Caenorhabditis elegans: one gene and its partner. The protein of the gene in region 2 interacts with the protein of the main gene of each other region in a biochemical or structural test. Each region holds a gene or a part of one and is shown on either strand. Other genes may lie near its edges. The genes, in order: cgh-1 and kin-3.

What was found.
Region 1: of the proteins of kin-3 (region 2) and cgh-1, one has a biochemical effect on the other in vitro, tested with the Caenorhabditis elegans proteins (one study listed by BioGRID).

What each region holds. Positions count from the first base shown.
Region 1 is NC_003281.10:7,492,855-7,500,684, forward strand, and holds cgh-1 (ATP-dependent RNA helicase cgh-1), read right to left. Parts: upstream 4,979-7,830; 5' UTR 4,941-4,978; coding exon 4,836-4,940; intron 4,789-4,835; coding exon 4,285-4,788; intron 4,240-4,284; coding exon 3,822-4,239; intron 3,801-3,821; exon of another isoform or gene 3,723-3,800; intron 3,674-3,722; coding exon 3,408-3,673; 3' UTR 2,466-3,407; downstream 1-2,465. Other genes in the region: C07H6.9 (Serpentine Receptor, class Z), read right to left, coding at 5,979-6,191, 6,234-6,376, 6,421-6,511, 6,555-6,593; sap-140 (U2 snRNP-associated SURP motif-containing protein), read left to right, coding at 6,908-6,940, 7,003-7,135, 7,178-7,290, 7,400-7,572, 7,623-7,830. UniProt on the Caenorhabditis elegans protein: Probable RNA helicase required for oocyte and sperm function. Also required to prevent the physiological germline apoptosis mechanism killing essentially all developing oocytes.
Region 2 is NC_003279.8:10,730,608-10,738,785, reverse strand, and holds kin-3 (Casein kinase II subunit alpha), read right to left. Parts: upstream 4,765-8,178; 5' UTR 4,748-4,764; coding exon 4,709-4,747; intron 4,644-4,708; exon of another isoform or gene 4,530-4,643; intron 4,466-4,529; coding exon 4,295-4,465; intron 4,236-4,294; coding exon 4,108-4,235; intron 4,059-4,107; coding exon 3,974-4,058; intron 3,915-3,973; coding exon 3,618-3,914; intron 3,161-3,617; coding exon 3,036-3,160; intron 2,981-3,035; coding exon 2,899-2,980; intron 2,702-2,898; coding exon 2,546-2,701; 3' UTR 2,171-2,545; downstream 1-2,170. Other genes in the region: nfs-1 (cysteine desulfurase), read right to left, coding at 259-414, 465-599, 752-845, 891-989, 1,162-1,281, 1,326-1,463, 1,969-2,037; mrpl-9 (Large ribosomal subunit protein bL9m), read left to right, coding at 5,128-5,187, 5,233-5,398, 5,449-5,573, 5,622-5,945, 5,993-6,148; rpn-10 (26S proteasome non-ATPase regulatory subunit 4), read left to right, coding at 6,395-6,420, 6,472-6,612, 6,932-7,433, 7,487-7,858; B0205.12 (YtxH domain-containing protein), read right to left, coding at 8,109-8,178. UniProt on the Caenorhabditis elegans protein: Casein kinases are operationally defined by their preferential utilization of acidic proteins such as caseins as substrates. The alpha chain contains the catalytic site. May participate in Wnt signaling.

The DNA of each region.
Region 1 (7,830 bases), on a different chromosome or scaffold from region 2:
TGAGTTGTGGCGACCCATTTTAATCATATGTTTCCAAAAAAGTTTTTTAACTTTTATTCCTGCAAAATTTTAAACTAAAAATCCACAAAGAAATCACCGAGTACGGTCAAATCAGATCAAAAGAGAAAGAAATATGCAGACAACATACGTATAATAAAATTTGGATTTTCTGATACATTTTTGAATCGTTTGGAAATCGTGTTAGAACCCTACAGATTTTGAATTTACGGATATACCAAAATCTAAAGTTTTCCAAAAAACTTTTCCAAAAGTGAATAAAAACACAAAAACAAGAAGATACGAAGAACCCATGTTTGCAACGGAACTTGAAGGACTATAATTGGTGGGTTCGTTTTCTTACTGCCAGTACAAACAGTTGGTATGCCGAGTAATTATTAAACCAGAATTTCAGACATCTGTATTTTTTAACTTCTGTTCTATAGACATCCTAGGAAATTATATGAATTTAGTTTGTCTTTTTATCTTTTTATGGAAAAATGATAAACTTTTATTATTATTTCCAAAGATCAATTAAAAGCATAAACTATTTCAAAATGTATAATATCACTTCTAATAGTAATAGTTTTTAAGTAGTCTATAGTTTGTTTTTTTTCCTTGCGGTTACTAATGGTAAATGGAACATCGAAAAATGAGTAGACATTGAGAAAATGAGAAAAAAATCCAGTTTTTCATTATTCGAAAGGTTGACCCAATGGACCTAATGGCATTTCAACCTCTTCTTTGTCCAACTTTTTCACTTTTTACGCCCATTTTGCATTTTGCATGAATTCACAAATAATGTTGCAATTATTCAAAAAAAAATTTATGTTTCAAAACTACATAGGTTTTGACATTTTGCCAAGAGTGAAAATTAAATTTCTGAAAAATCTTGAACATTTTAAAGTATTTTATTTTAATTTGTAGCCTTTTTGATCAACTTTAAGTTTATTTCAAGAAAAAACTCCACTTTACTGTACCTTCAGAACTTTGACGAAAAGTTTTACAAAATAGGTATAGCTCCACGTTAAAGCTCTTTGTAACTCAAAAATCCGATCAAAAATTGTTTAGTGTAAAAAAGTGAATTTGAAATTTGAAAAGAATTTATTTAGAAATGTATCACACCGTCCACTTCTCCTTCATTTCAATTCAAAACCGTTTTTCATTCTTTTTTTGACACTTAAGTGGTCATCAACGCTGTTTAGAATATCAATACACTTTTTTGCGATATAAATGGTCAACAAAAAATAATGAGGGAAAATGAAAACAATTTTTTAAATAATAAAGTTAACAAATCCTTCTATATAAAATATAAAAACCTTTGAAGAATACTGTAATTTTTAAATTTCGTTGCTGCGGAATTAATTCCGGAATTTTCATCGATTTTTCATATTTACCATAGTTTTTCGATTAAAAATATTTATTTACTAAAATACTAATACGAAACAATTAAGACATTTAAATTTCAACAAATCGTGAAACTATGAAAAATCGATGAAAACTCCGCATCACCACAAGTTTGAAAGTACAGTAATCTTTCAAGGCGCACACCCGTTTACGTAAAACTCGCAACATTTCGCGTCTGGGCAATAAAACTTTGTTGTACTTCGCATTATTTTCCATTATAACATCATCAACGAAAAATGAAAGACTATTTCAATTTATTAATCGGGCGCGTTCGTCTGGAAAATTTTCTGAAAATGGTCATTTTGTACAATGCAGTAAATGTGAGTAATACGAGACTAACCTCGTGATTTATCGATGGAGTTGGTCAAAAAAGTTATATTTTTATAAACTTTTGTTATTTGATTAAAATTAAAAAAAAAGATGCCTAAACCGTATAAAAATCAGAGAAAAAAATAGTTTCGATGCCATCACTTGTCTCTCTGCGGATATCGCGCAAAGAATTCCAATCCAATTCAGACCGGTTCGAGCCGCCTGTCATCGACGGATACGGATTGTTAACATTTGCATAATATTACAAAAGGCGAGGATATACATATAGAAAAGCATATGAGAAAATGAAACTAAAAAGAATTTTCAAAGTCATTGCGGTCGGAATCCGAATACACACTAATAGATTAATGTAGACGTTCCGACCTCTCCCGTCACCGCAATATCAACTAATATTACTGTGCGCGGCGCGCATTACTGGTGCCGATACGGATGGGCAATCACCTCTCCGGATGACACATCCAAGAGAGAAACAGTAAATTGAATACCGACCTCAACCATTGCCGCTGGCTGACTGTCAACACATTCAACGCCTTCCGCTGCTGTTGCCAGGGAATACGAGAAACGAAAGTAAATCGTCGCATTTTGTTACTTTCATTTCACATGGTCTTTCACTCGGGAAATGCGCTAATGTGCTTTAATGTATCTCTTGTGGGTTTTCGGTTTTTCTCAAGGCTTTCACTACTTTCCTCTTCATATGAAACTCTGAAAAGAAATAACAGAAGACGATGTTTCGATTCGGTCTTTTATTGTTAAAGATGGCAATCATCCAGAAGGAAGCTTGCACATCCTTTGTGAATCGAAAAATTGTGCAAATTTTTGGTGTCAACTTCTACAAATTATACAATAAACAAGAGGGAGGAGGCGGGAGAGAACAAATGGTTTTGGAATGGGGATGGGGGAAGAGCTGTAAGCGAGACACATGGCCAGCCGGAAGCCTTCCAAGACATTATAGTCTTTGAGCCATTTGACATGATAATAGTTGCAATAAATATCTATCAGATTAGGAGATGGACAAGTTGAACTGGAATGAGCACAAGAGCGGAATAAAACCCTACAGATGGGCAAGGGAAAACCGCAAGGATGGTGGTTTTAAATTTTGGATGCATTGGTATGGGGCATGAAGGGAGAATTGTGGGAAATGAGATAGGAAATTACAAGATTGATCAATGTGGTGCGGCTCAACAGAATAACTACAGAGCCGGCTACCCAGTATGATACACGTCAAAAAGAACCCGATGTGTATGAACAATGTCCTTACACTCCCAAATATATTTTGCAACGACACATTAATGTCGAAACAATTTACTTTGGGAGCATAAAGACCAACTTAAATGACTATGTAAAACACAACGACTTGAATGAGTTACAGTCCATGACTGCAAGTTGGAGGGTATGGGGAAACTAATGAAAAAGAAAAATTAGAATTTTACACCGCATATAAGTGGAACGGGTTGATGGGGTCCGGGAAGGTGGATGGGATACAAATAATGTGCGGGGATTTGAGAAAACAGGAAGGAAAGATGCTTATGCTTGAACAATATTAAATTTAGCACAAACTGTGCATTTAAAGGAAAATAGAGAACATACACAATCTGGACGAGATCACTAGAATGGAAAAAAAAAACGTAGGCGACCAGTGTGTTTTGGAGGTTTGGGGATATGAGAACTAGTGTTTAAGCAGTGGTCTCATCGGCGGCATCGACGAGCTGCTGGTCAGCGACATACAGCTTCGGGTCAACCGTTTTCGGGATGGGCTCAATGCGAGTACGAAGCTCCTGCTCGATACGGCGAAGGGTGTGACGGTCTTCGTAGGTGATAAGGTTGATTGCAACTCCGAGGTGACCGAAACGTCCAGAGCGACCGATTCTGTGAAGGTAAGTCTCGGCGTTTCTTGGGAAGTCAAAGTTGATGACAACATTGACAGCCTGGATATCGATACCTGAAAAATTACAATTATGCATGAACTACACTTTAAAATAAGAAAAATGGCGCTCAGATATCCGTTCTTCAATTATCTCTTCACATAACTTCAGAGTGTGTGTATGTGTTATCAATCCTCATCGCGCAAATTATTTAGTCAAACTTACCACGGGTGAGAAGATCGGAGCAAACCAAGTTTCTGCAGTTTCCTTGACGGAAGTCATGGAAGACACGGTTTCTGTGATTCTGAGCCATCTTGGAATGAATGTAGTAGCACGAGTAACCGATTTCCGTGATTTTCTTAGCGAGAAGCTCAACACGTTGAGTAGAGTTACAGAAGATGATCGACTGGTTGATTTGAAGTTTTCGGAACAACGTATTCAAACAGTGGACCTTTTGCTTCTCTTGAACAAAGGCATAGTATTGGGTGACACCAAGAAGAGTAAGCTCCTCCATGAGGTTGATCTCATACGGCTTGTGCATGTGCTTCTGCATGAACGAAGTGACGGTGTTAGGGAAAGTGGCAGAATAAAGCATAACTTGACGCTCCTTTGGGAGGAAGTTGATGAGGCGGTCGAGAATTCCCTGTAAACGAGAATTGTTATCTTATTCAAATGTTAATTTTTTTACCTGGAAGTCTTGACTAAGAAGTTTGTCAGCCTCGTCAAGAACAAGTGTTTTACAATGTTCCATTTTGGCGACTCCTTTCTCCATAAGATCGAGAATTCTTCCTGGGGTGGCGATGACCAAGTGAACCGTTCCGTTTAGACGCATGATATCATCACGGAGATCAGTTCCTCCGGTAGTGACCATAACTTTGAGCTGAATGTGTTTGGAGAGCTCCACGCAGATCTGTGAAGTTTGGAGAGCCAATTCACGAGTTGGGACAATGACCATGGCTTGAATAGCTTTGAGGGCTGGCTGGATCTTCTCGATAACAGGGATACAATAAGCTCCGGTTTTTCCTGTTCCGTTCTTAGCTCTTGCGAGAATATCTTGACCAGTGAGAGCGACTCCGATGGATGCTTCTTGAATAGGACTCGGTTTTTCCCATCCTTTCTCAAAAATCCCCATGAGAAGATCGCGTCCAAGGCAGAAATCCTCAAACTCGACTCCCTTCGTATCAGTGACATCCTGAAAAATGAAATGGTCACAAAGTCATATAGGCTTTGCAAACTCACAGCAGTTTTGAATCTTCTGTCTTTTGCTGGAAGATTGAGACCAGCCTTCCAGTTTTCGTCGCCATTGTTGGCAGGAACGATCTGTTGTTGCTCCGCTCCACTCATTTTCCGATGTCGTAGTAGGTTTGATTTCCTGATGAGATCTGTAAAATCGAGATTAAAGTTGAGAAGTTGTTAATGGTGTAAGTTGAGAAGTTGTTAATGAAGGAAGATAAGTTTTTAATGCGAAAAAATGATACCTATCGAGTTTACTACAATTTTGTTAGTCATGGAAAAATCATTCAAGCATTTTCAGAACAATTAGGAGGAACGCTAAATAACACTGAGATAATATTTATGCGAGACAACCGGTGTCTGTCTCGCGCTCGTATACACACGATCAATGACGGTTAGAAAAAGCAAGCGAGTGGTCGGCGGCGCATAGAGACGCACAGACACTCTTTGGGTTGCTGGAGTATCTAGCCAACAGGGTAGCCGATGTTTGACGACGTGGCAATTGACAAGAAACAATTTCAAAAGGTCAGAGAATCACGACAATTTTTTATTGATACCTTCCAGTTTTTAAGCGACTCTCCAAACAATAAACGCGAAAAAGTTTATATTTTACATTCGAAAGTTTGAAAGAACACTTTTTGTTATCGTTTTTTAAAACAGGTTTCTGAGCTACGAAACTGATAAAAATCTTCGGAAAACGACTGAATCTATCAAGAAAGTGTCGATAACAGATTGGAGCTGCCATCGTCGCCTAAAACTCTTAGAAATCTAGAGAAGAAACACAGAAACACGTGGAGAACAACGGCCAAAATGAAGGAAATGTGCGAAGAAACGAGAGTGTGGAGAGAAAAACTGTGAGAGCGACGGGACGAGTAGGCCAAGCTGCTGCGAGCGACGAGTGAGAGGCATTTCGCTGCGTACATTCAACACACAAAAGTTGAATACTCAGCCAACGCGCGAAACAAAATGGCGGTAATTCAAAATTAGATTTCAATGAAAAACTTTACGAAGATTTGATGCGAAATTTCTTGAGAATAATAATGAATTAAATATTAAAAAGAATATACCAGCGTCGATGAAAATTTATTAAAGGATAATTAGTTCTAAATGTAATGAGTAATGTGATTACTTTATCGTTTTTCGATTTCCTCATTTTTCTAATTCGAACTCCTCATATTCAACCAGAAATCTGTGATATGCGTCACATCTAGCTCCGTGATGGCAGTATACGATGAATATAAGAAACCGACACGGTTGGATAACACAATTGAAATACGCCAAATCCACAATAGGCAATATTTTCGAGCTGCCAACAAAATAAATTGTTCCGAAACAGGACACATCCACCACCATTTTTATAAACTGAAAATCTTAATTGAAAACAGGAGTCAAAAGAAACGTTACATTTGTGGTAATCGTAATAACATTGAGACGTTGGACTCCATTGTATGATATAAAATATATAACTATCAAAATGCTTGTTAGAAAAAATAACGAAAATTGAATGTAAACAAGTGACAGATACACGAACGACTCTGTCTTCATATCTGCAATTTTAGTTGTTATATTTTTCCACTTTTTATTTTCTTACAGAAATAAGCAGATCCAAGATAAACCGATTGGTACCAAGTTTGTAAAGCTTCTAGGCAAATCATGTTTATAGCAATAGGACTCCAAGATCCCTTAAAATTATTTATAAAGGCAGAAACATTACAGATAACAAACTTGATCGAGATTGAATAACGGCGGAGGAGATAGACTCATAATTCTTATATGCAAATTATTTAAAAATGGTTTGTTATTTTATTTATGAATTATATGATTTGAACGTTAAATGTTAATAATAATATGAAATTGCGTGTAACTCATGAATTGAAATTAATTACGTTATTATTTTGTTCTTTCTTTTTTCAAAAATAAAATGTTTCCTTACTTAAAAGTCGCGCCGAGATCCGAAAACACGCCAAAGTGGTTGCTGGCGCGTTTCATCATAATTGCTGACGCATTGTCAGTGCCTGGTCCATTTACTGGGAAAAATCTAACATTTTAAATTATTTCCCGGGAAATTTCCCCGCAATATGAGTATGGAATGGTCCAAAAAGAGAAAGAAAGTAAGTTTCCTTGTCAACTTCTAAGTGTCACAAGCTTTAATAATACCGATTTAAAAGTTTAGACATCTGACGATGAGGAGGCGAAGTTGAACGATGCTTTGTTGGAGTTCCAAGCAGACTTTGGACAATCTTCGTCTGTTTCTTCTCAGCCTAAAACTTTTCTGAGAGGAAATGTTGTCGAGGGAAATAAGATTTGTAAGAAAATCCATTTGAAAACTATATAAACTGAATTTTCAGCTGCTGGCGACGGTGGAATCTATGCACCAAAGTTTTCAATGAACATTCCGTCTAAAACTTCGAACGTTGGATCCAAAGATTTTGATGAAGCGAAAAAATTAGCAGCCGCGAAGGTAAAATTAATAAATTTCATGCGCTTAGTTCTTCACATTGTTTAAATTGGTAGAGATGTGTTCGTTTCTTAACGGATGTTTTTAGTGAAATAAGAAACACTATATTCAGGCTCGAAGGATGCTGGAAGACGTAGCACGAAGCAAAAAAATGACAGAAGTGCCGAAAGTTGTCGTGCCAACTACGAGGCCGTTTCAAAGACCCCCGAAGCCTGGCAGCTCGAAAGCGAAACAAGATAAGCCAAAGATCAGTCAAATGGAAATGTTTAAAATGGAATTGCAGAGGTATATTGCTAAAAAAGAATTTCGAAAGAATTATATCCGTAAAATTTCAGAGTTCAAGAAGATCGAGAAAAACGGAAAGATTTACGACATCATCTGGAAAAAGTTGGAATGGATCAAGCTGTAGTAGAGAGATTGGCTCCAACAGTTGAAAGAGGATTCCAGGGAACGTCGGAGTTTGACGATGACCCGTATACTACAAATGTATATGTCTCTAATATTCCACATTCAGTAACGGAAGACGATCTATTATTTACATTT
Region 2 (8,178 bases):
AAAATGTGTCAAACCATTTGTTTCTTACAATTGTTTTTTAATTGAACGGTCCGTTTTTATAAAAAATTCGAATTTCTCAGAAAAAATGAAGTTTTTAGGGACAGTTTTATTAAAGTTAAAGTTTAACAAAAACCGTAATATAAAATAGTTTTTTTTAATTAAAAAAATTTAGATTTTAAAGATATCTTTCAAACATTTCTAATTTTTTATGTCTGAAATACCAATAATTGTGTTAAAAATTCAAAAAAAAAACCATACCCATCTCCTTATCAGCAATTTTAGCAGCTTCCCCAAGTCCAATGCACAATGGAGCAGCTACAGTACCAGATCGTAATCCTCTTTCCTGTCCTCCACCAGACATTTGAGCTTCAATACGAACACGTGGACGACGACGAACGTAAAGGGCTCCGGCACCTGGAAATCGGAGCTTTTGAAGAATTTGAAATCTGAAGAATGAAAATTACCTTTTGGTCCGTAGATTTTATGCGCAGAAATTGACATTAAATCAATTTTCATTTCATTTACATCAATTGGAACTTTTCCAGTAGCTTGTGCGGCATCTGTGTGAAAGTATACACCTTTTGAACGGCATAGTTCACCTGAAATTTTTTATTTTTTTCGTTAAATTTCTTTTAAATACTTAAAATACTGAATTCTGCGATGAGAGAGTCAAAACTGAAAAACTTAGATATTTTAGTTAAATTTAGCTTCTTTTTTGGGGTATTTCTCTGATTTGAAAAAAAAAACAAACCAATTTGCTTGATCGGCTGCATAACTCCAATTTCATTATTGACAAACATAATAGACACAAGACATGTTTCCGCGGTAATCGATTGAGTAAGTTGCTGAAATATCAGATATTTCCTATATTTTCTAACTGAAAAAAGTACCTCCATATCAACCATTCCTCCCTTATCAACTGGTAAATATGTCACTTTAAATCCTTCATTTTCCAAATATCGACACGAGTCGAGAACGCATTTGTGCTCCTGGAAAATAAACGTTTTTCTTTTAATTTCATTATTATGGAGACGCAAAAAATGCGCTTTTGGAAATCTATGTGAAAACGCGCTCCGCCTCCAAACCATGGGTCTCGTTAGGTGTTTGGTGGCGAAATCCGTTTTAAGCGAATTTTCTGCGGACTAATAATAGCAATCTTACAGTTTGCAGCGTGATAATATGATTCTTTCCAGATTGTTTTCGAAACTTTGCAACTCCTTTAATCGCCAAATTATTTGATTCAGTGGCTCCAGAAGTGAAGATGATGTCACGAGGATCTGCCTGAAAATACAAGGAAATTGAATAAAACTCTCAGAAAAAAAAACCTTTATAAGATTTGCAACATGTTCTCTCGCTTGTTCAACGCCTTCTTCAGCTTTCCATCCGTATGAATGAGTTCTTGAATGAGGATTTCCGAAATCATTGATCATATAGGGAAGCATTGCGTCGACTACTCGAGGATCCTGTAAAATATTAAAATTTGGAATTTCAAAAAAAATCCCAGCACATTTTTTTCCTAGTTTCTTAAGCTACGATTTCACTTAAATTGGAAATAAAATAATTTAGTCACATTTAGAGAACCGAAAACTGAGAAATTGGTTTTTTAAATACCAAAAATGGTCTCAAACTACTGAATTTCGCAATGAAATGTTCTGAAAATTTATGAAAAATAAAAAAAAAAATATTATATGGGTTCAAAGTATTGTAAAATGTCATATTTTCAGTGTCGCAGCGCTGTCGTAAATCAGTTTTCATATAATTATCATAATTTATTGCTGGTTTTGTTCGCTTAGGCCCTTTTTAGGCCATAAGCCGCAATTTTAGAATGCCTACTAGCTTAAACTGTGCCTAGGTTAGAAAAAAACTCATTCGAAATCTAAATTGTATCTGAAAAGTTTCGTTAATTTTTTCCAGATACAAGTTTTTTATATTATTTTTAATCATGCTTTATTATTTCCATTTAATTACCATTGGCGCGGTAGCCTGAACATCCAAATAAATCGGCTGCGGAGATCCTGGCTCAATTTTCGATGCCATTGTCCGGCGAGCAATCGATCGAAGGAGCACTCGTCCGTTGAGCATTTTAAATCTAAAACTCTAAAAGTGAACATAGTTCACAACTCAACATAGGAACAATAGTAGGTTTTTCAAACCAAAGACAATATTGATTACAAGTAACAGTTTTTTTTCTCACGAACTGTGATTCGATTTATAAAAATGATGATTGTGGTTGTTTGAGGAAGAGGAAAGGGGAGAAGAAGGAGAACAATATGAAATGGGACAAAAAAGATTTAAAATTGAAACGGAATTTCAGAGGCATGAATTACACAAAAAAATCCTAAAAATAGAATTTGCAAAGAACGTTTCTCACGAAAAGATTAGGCACTTTTGTGGTACGTAGAGGGAAATTTTCGGAGAAGCGGGGAAGATTTAATATCTTAGCCAATTTTTAGAGCAAAGGAATAATGATGGAGAGGAGTGGTGTGGAAATTAATAAAAAAGGAAATAGTCAACAGGAAAATTAAAAAAAAAATAGAAAGAAATTTTAAGCGCCGTCAATTTTGGCATCGGAGGATTGAGAAGAAGCGGAATTCGATGCACCCTGTCCGTCAGCTTGTTCAGTTCCATTGGCACGAGCATGTGCTTCAACAACTGGGCGGAAGTATTCGTGACCCATGGCCTCTTGAGCAGTTAGGCGTTCCTGAATATGGTGAAATTTATTAAAAGTTCTGGAAATAAATTAATTTAACAAATAAAAGTATTTATAGTTAGTTTCGAGTATCAAATGTCTTTTTTTTCAATAAAACAAGTGAAAATTGTTTTTATTTCTCTGTGTTCTTGTTAAAACTGGTTTTCAGTAACTAATTTGGTGTAATTTCTCTTTTTTCCGATTCTTACCGCGTGATCGTAGCGAAGAAGTTTATCAAGGAAATCAAGAGCCTCTGGGGTGACAAGATGTTGATTTTCAGCGTGGATAAATCTACAACAAATGAATTTTAAGAAAAACATGAAACTTCGCTTCGATCAAAATATACCTTTCCCAGCGTTTTCTTGAGTGTCGCCCGAGAATATCGTTGAAGCGTGGATCGAGATCAATGTGATATCTCGCAATGTACTCGTAAAGCTCATCAGTTCCCAATACCTTTGCAATGCGGACTAGCTGCAAAAAACTTTTTATAAGAAAATCAGATTTCGTGAATTTATAAAATATTAAAAATCATAAAAATTATTGATGAATATTTAATAAATACCTGACAATATTATTTATTCATTTAAATTTCAGCTCAGGGGTGCGAATCAATCGCCGGCAAGAAATTCTACGGAATAAGCCAAACTTATCAGTAAAATTTTAGCTATGGAATTCAAAAAAATAATTTCTTTATCTGAAAATAGTTTTTTGCAGCTGGAACAATTGAAAAATGCTCAAAATTGGAAAATTTTCGGTTTTTTTCGGAAATTTTAAACTTTCCGGTAATTTTTTAAGCGTTTTTCCCCATTGTTCTCACTGAAATAAAAGCCATAATCAGATAAATCAAATGTTTTCTATATTCCAATATTGGATTTTAATGAAATTTGTGGATTTGCGGTTCTTTGCTACTTCAGCTTAAAGTGCTTACCTGATCGTAGTTATCATGGCCGTGGAAGAATGGTTCCTTCCTGAAGATCATACTAGCCAACATGCATCCCAAACTCCACATATCCAACGAATAATCGTAACATTGATAATCGACAAGAAGCTCGGGTCCCTTGAAATATCTAGAAGCAACACGAACATTATAGTCCTGTCTTGGATGATAGAATTCGGCTAATCCCCAATCTATTAATCGAAGTTCCCGTTTTTCGGCGTCAATCATCACATTGTGCGGCTTAACATCTCTGTGCATAATTCCTTGAGAATGGCAGAAGTCGAGAGCCTGGAGAATAAATTGAAACGTTATGAATTCAAAAATTAATGGACAGCTGAAAAAAGTACCTTCAAGAGCTCGTAGAGGTAGTAACGGATATCATAGTCACTGAGGGTTTGATACAATTGCTTGAAGTCCGAATTGTTAACATGCCTTCAAATAGAAATTATTAATTCTAAAAATCTTCAAATAGTAAACCAACTCGAAAATAAGAGCCGGAGTTCTCGAAATAGGATCCTTGACGACGTCGAGGAGGGTGATGATGTTTGTCCCGCCACGAAGATTCTCCAAAATTTTAATCTCACGCTTGATCTTCTTCTTTTTGACTGGCTGAAAACAAACAAATTACATTTTGAAAGCTTTATTACAATTATTTTTGTAAAACTTACCTTGAGAATCTTGACAACAACTTTCTCGTCAGTGCTCATCTTGAATCCTTCAAAAACCTCCGAATATTTTCCACGTCCCAACTTGCGTACCAGCTGATAATCATCGATTTGTCCCCATTCGATCATGTGAGCCTCATAGTCCCAGTACTCGCGTGGTCTCGACGGATTCACCTGAAACAATTGTGATTTATAATATATAAACTCATAAAAACATAATTTAGTGACTTTTACAAATAGTTTTTCTTTACGAGACTATAAATTCCTATGAACATTTATAAAATCTAACAAATGTGGCGTACAGTGTTTCACAGTATTCCACAACTAAACGGATAACGTTAATTCCGTCATTGTGAGTTATGTATGAGCAATATATTCTGTTCAATAATTAACTCCTGGCTATACAAACTTGCTCACCTCGGCGTAGACCCTCGCCCGGCTAGGAATCGGAGGCATTTCCCAAGAATAACGATCTGAAACAAGTAACACGTTATTTTTGAGCAAGTTTTGACAAAACGGCTGTTATAATTGAATTATTAGAACGAAATTTTCAGTAGAAATAGTAAAATCTCGGGAAAACTGATAAAACCCGAATAATTTTGAAAATACATGCCAGAACATGAAAAGAGTACGCAAATGCGAGAGAGCGCAGAGAAAAAACCAAATGTGAACTCGTGCGTGGTGAGATATTCCCGCTGCGAAAGTCGGTGTGCCTTTAAATTTGTCATCATCGACAACGGCGCGCATTTTCTTTTCTCATCTATTTCTGTATTTTAGAATGAAATCACTTTATTTTCAGCGAAACACTTAATTAAAATTGATATTTTCAGGTAATTATGCTTTCAGCTTCACAGCTTCATCGATTTGTGCAACATATTAATCGCCAGGCAAGCCGAGTAAGTTCTGAAGCAATTAATAAGTTATTTTATGTTTTTCTTCAGAACACATGGGTATTGCGCCGAGTATTCCAACCAGAAGTCACACCGCCCGGCGGAGTACAGAAAAATCCCAATGATTTCCACGATTACCAGAAATACGAAGTTGTTGAGTTCGAAACACAAAAATCCGCTGGTCCGATTAATGTGATTTTACTTCAAGATGTTGAAGGTAGTTTTTTAAAATAAAAGAAAGCAAATGTAAAAAATTCATTTTTACAGGAATTGGCCATCAGTTCGATGTGGTTAGTGTGGATCGGACTTTGGCCCGAAAGGATTTACTATTATCTAAAAAAGCCGTCTACGCGTCGCCGTTTGATTTAAAGTACTATTCAGATATGAAAACAGTGGGTTTTAATGTTAATTTATATTTTTCAATCAAATAATAATTTCAGCGAATGGCTGAAGAACTTGCTTCTCGAATCAGAATTCCATATGAGCTCAAAGTGGTTGGACGAGATTTGCAAAAAATGGTCATTCCAATCAAAGTTAATATGGAAAATCAATGGACGATTGATAGGAATCTTGTAAAAAGCTCACTTCGTCAAATGGGAGTTTTCGTTGCTGAAAATACAATTTTCCTCGCCGCTAAACCAATTTCTGGCCCGAATTTTGATATCGAAGCAAAACTATTCCGATTCTACGTTGTTGTAAATCAACAATACATTGTTCCTATGTTAGGAAGGATTACACATATTTCAGTAGATGAATCCAAACAGGTAAAGATTGAAAAGTTGTAGAAAATTATTGAATTTCCCTTTTTCAGATGATTTCTCCTACACTGACAACACCACGTGACGAGGAATTGGCTCGATATTCCATCCGAAAAGAGTTCCCATTGTACAGTAAAAATAACGATTTCACGGAAGATTTCCCAATTTTCGAGCACATGAAAGAGCATGCACCAACAACTCCACATTAGAATTCTAATAATCAATCAGACTAGATTTAATGTGTTTCAATTCTTTATTTTTGTTATTCTTGTTTTGTTGTTTGAAAAAAATCGATTTTATTTGTATTTGATTCTTCAAATAATTTTTAATTTATTTGCTCACGGTTTAATCACCGTTTAATATCTTCCTTCATTTATTCGTCAAACTGTTTTAAATTTAATTTTATTTCTCACATTCTACAGAGTTCATACAAAGGTGCTCAACACATTTCCAAAATGGTTCAAGAAAGTACTATGATTTGGTGAGTTTTTCTTGAATAATACGAACAATGGCAATATTATTTACTTTTCAGTGTCGACAATTCGGAATACATGCGCAACGGAGATTTCCAACCAACTCGGCTCCAATCTCAACAGGATGCAGTAAATCTTGTTACACAATGCAAGTTGCGTGCCAATCCGGAGAATGCTGTTGGAATTCTGTCAATGGCAAAGTTCGTATATTACTCAAACTCGAACGTTTTTTTGCGCTAAAATGACGGTACCTGGTCTCGACACGAAGATATTTTGTTAAATGCAAAAAGGTGTGCCCCTTTGAGGAGTACGGTAGTTTCAAACTTTCGCCGTTCTAGAATTTTCATTGGAAAATCGATGAAAATTCAGTAACAACGTTTGAAGTTACAGTATTCTTTAAAGGTGCACATCCGTTTGTATTTAGCGAAAAATGTCCTGTCGAGACCCAGTACCGTTTTTTGGCGCAAAAATCACTGATTTCCGGTAACACATGAAATTTTTCAATGTTTTCCTTTTCAGCAGTGTTCAAGTATTGTCAAGTCTGTCCACAGAACAAGGACGTTTGATGATGAAGAATCATTCCATTGAGCCATTCGGAAAATGCAACTTTATCGCCGGTATCAAGATTGCTCATCTTGCTCTGAAACATCGTCAAAACCGTAATCATAAGATGCGCGTTGTTCTCTTCATCGGATCACCTCTCGAGGAAATTGAAATGAATGAGCTCGTGAAGATTGCAAAGAAAATGAAGAAAGAGAAGGTTCTGTGCGACGTCATCATGTTCGGTGAAAATGAATCCGATGGACATGAGAAATTCTCAACATTCGTGGACACATTGAACGGAAAAGAAGGCAGCGGCTCATCCTTGATCGTTGTTCCACAAGGATCTTCCCTCACAGACGCGTTGTTGCAGTCAAGTGTATGCAAAAATGAAGATGGGCAAGCTGCATTCGGTGGAGGTGGAAACGGAATGGATAATGCATTCGGAATGGATGTTGAAAATGATCCAGATTTGGCTTTAGTAGGAAATTATTTTTTGGTTGCGTTGGAAAATCATTTTATTATTCTTTTTAGGCTCTTCGTGTCTCAATGGAAGAGGAACGAGCTCGTCAAGCCGCCGCCGCTGCTGCAAATGGAGGTGCCGCGGATTCTGGAGCTGATGCCGAAGTTGCTGCTGCGGCTGCTGCTGTTCCATTGGAAGAAATGGACATGGGAGCGATGACTGAAGAGCAACAATTGGAATGGGCTCTTCGTCTTTCAATGCAGGAAAATGCTCCGGCTGAGCAGCCACAAGTACAACACGAACAAATGGATGTGGATGGAGCTCCAGCAGTTGGAGGAGACAATCTTGATGATTTGATGAACAACCCAGAACTTTTGCAGCAAATTGTGGACGATCTTCCTGCTGCAAATGCGGAGAAGGATGATGACAAGGAGAAGAAATAAATGTCCCTGTGAAGTTGTTTTATTGTATTTTATCCTATTTATTATTGAATCACCATCCAGCCACCCCAAGTGAATGATTTTCAGTCTCCAACTTCTTCTTCCCCGCTGCGTAATTCTAATTTATTCCATCTCTCATTTTTCATCACGTATTTTCCTGTATATCCAGACCGATGTGAAAATAAACTTTTTGTGGCAAATATAAATTTATTCATGATTAGATTCTAGATATTGATTGATTATGGGAGTGGTGTCATGGATCCTTTTTGTATTGCTTCAGATAGTCTTCCACATTCTTCATCATCTCGCTGGCCGATGGAAGC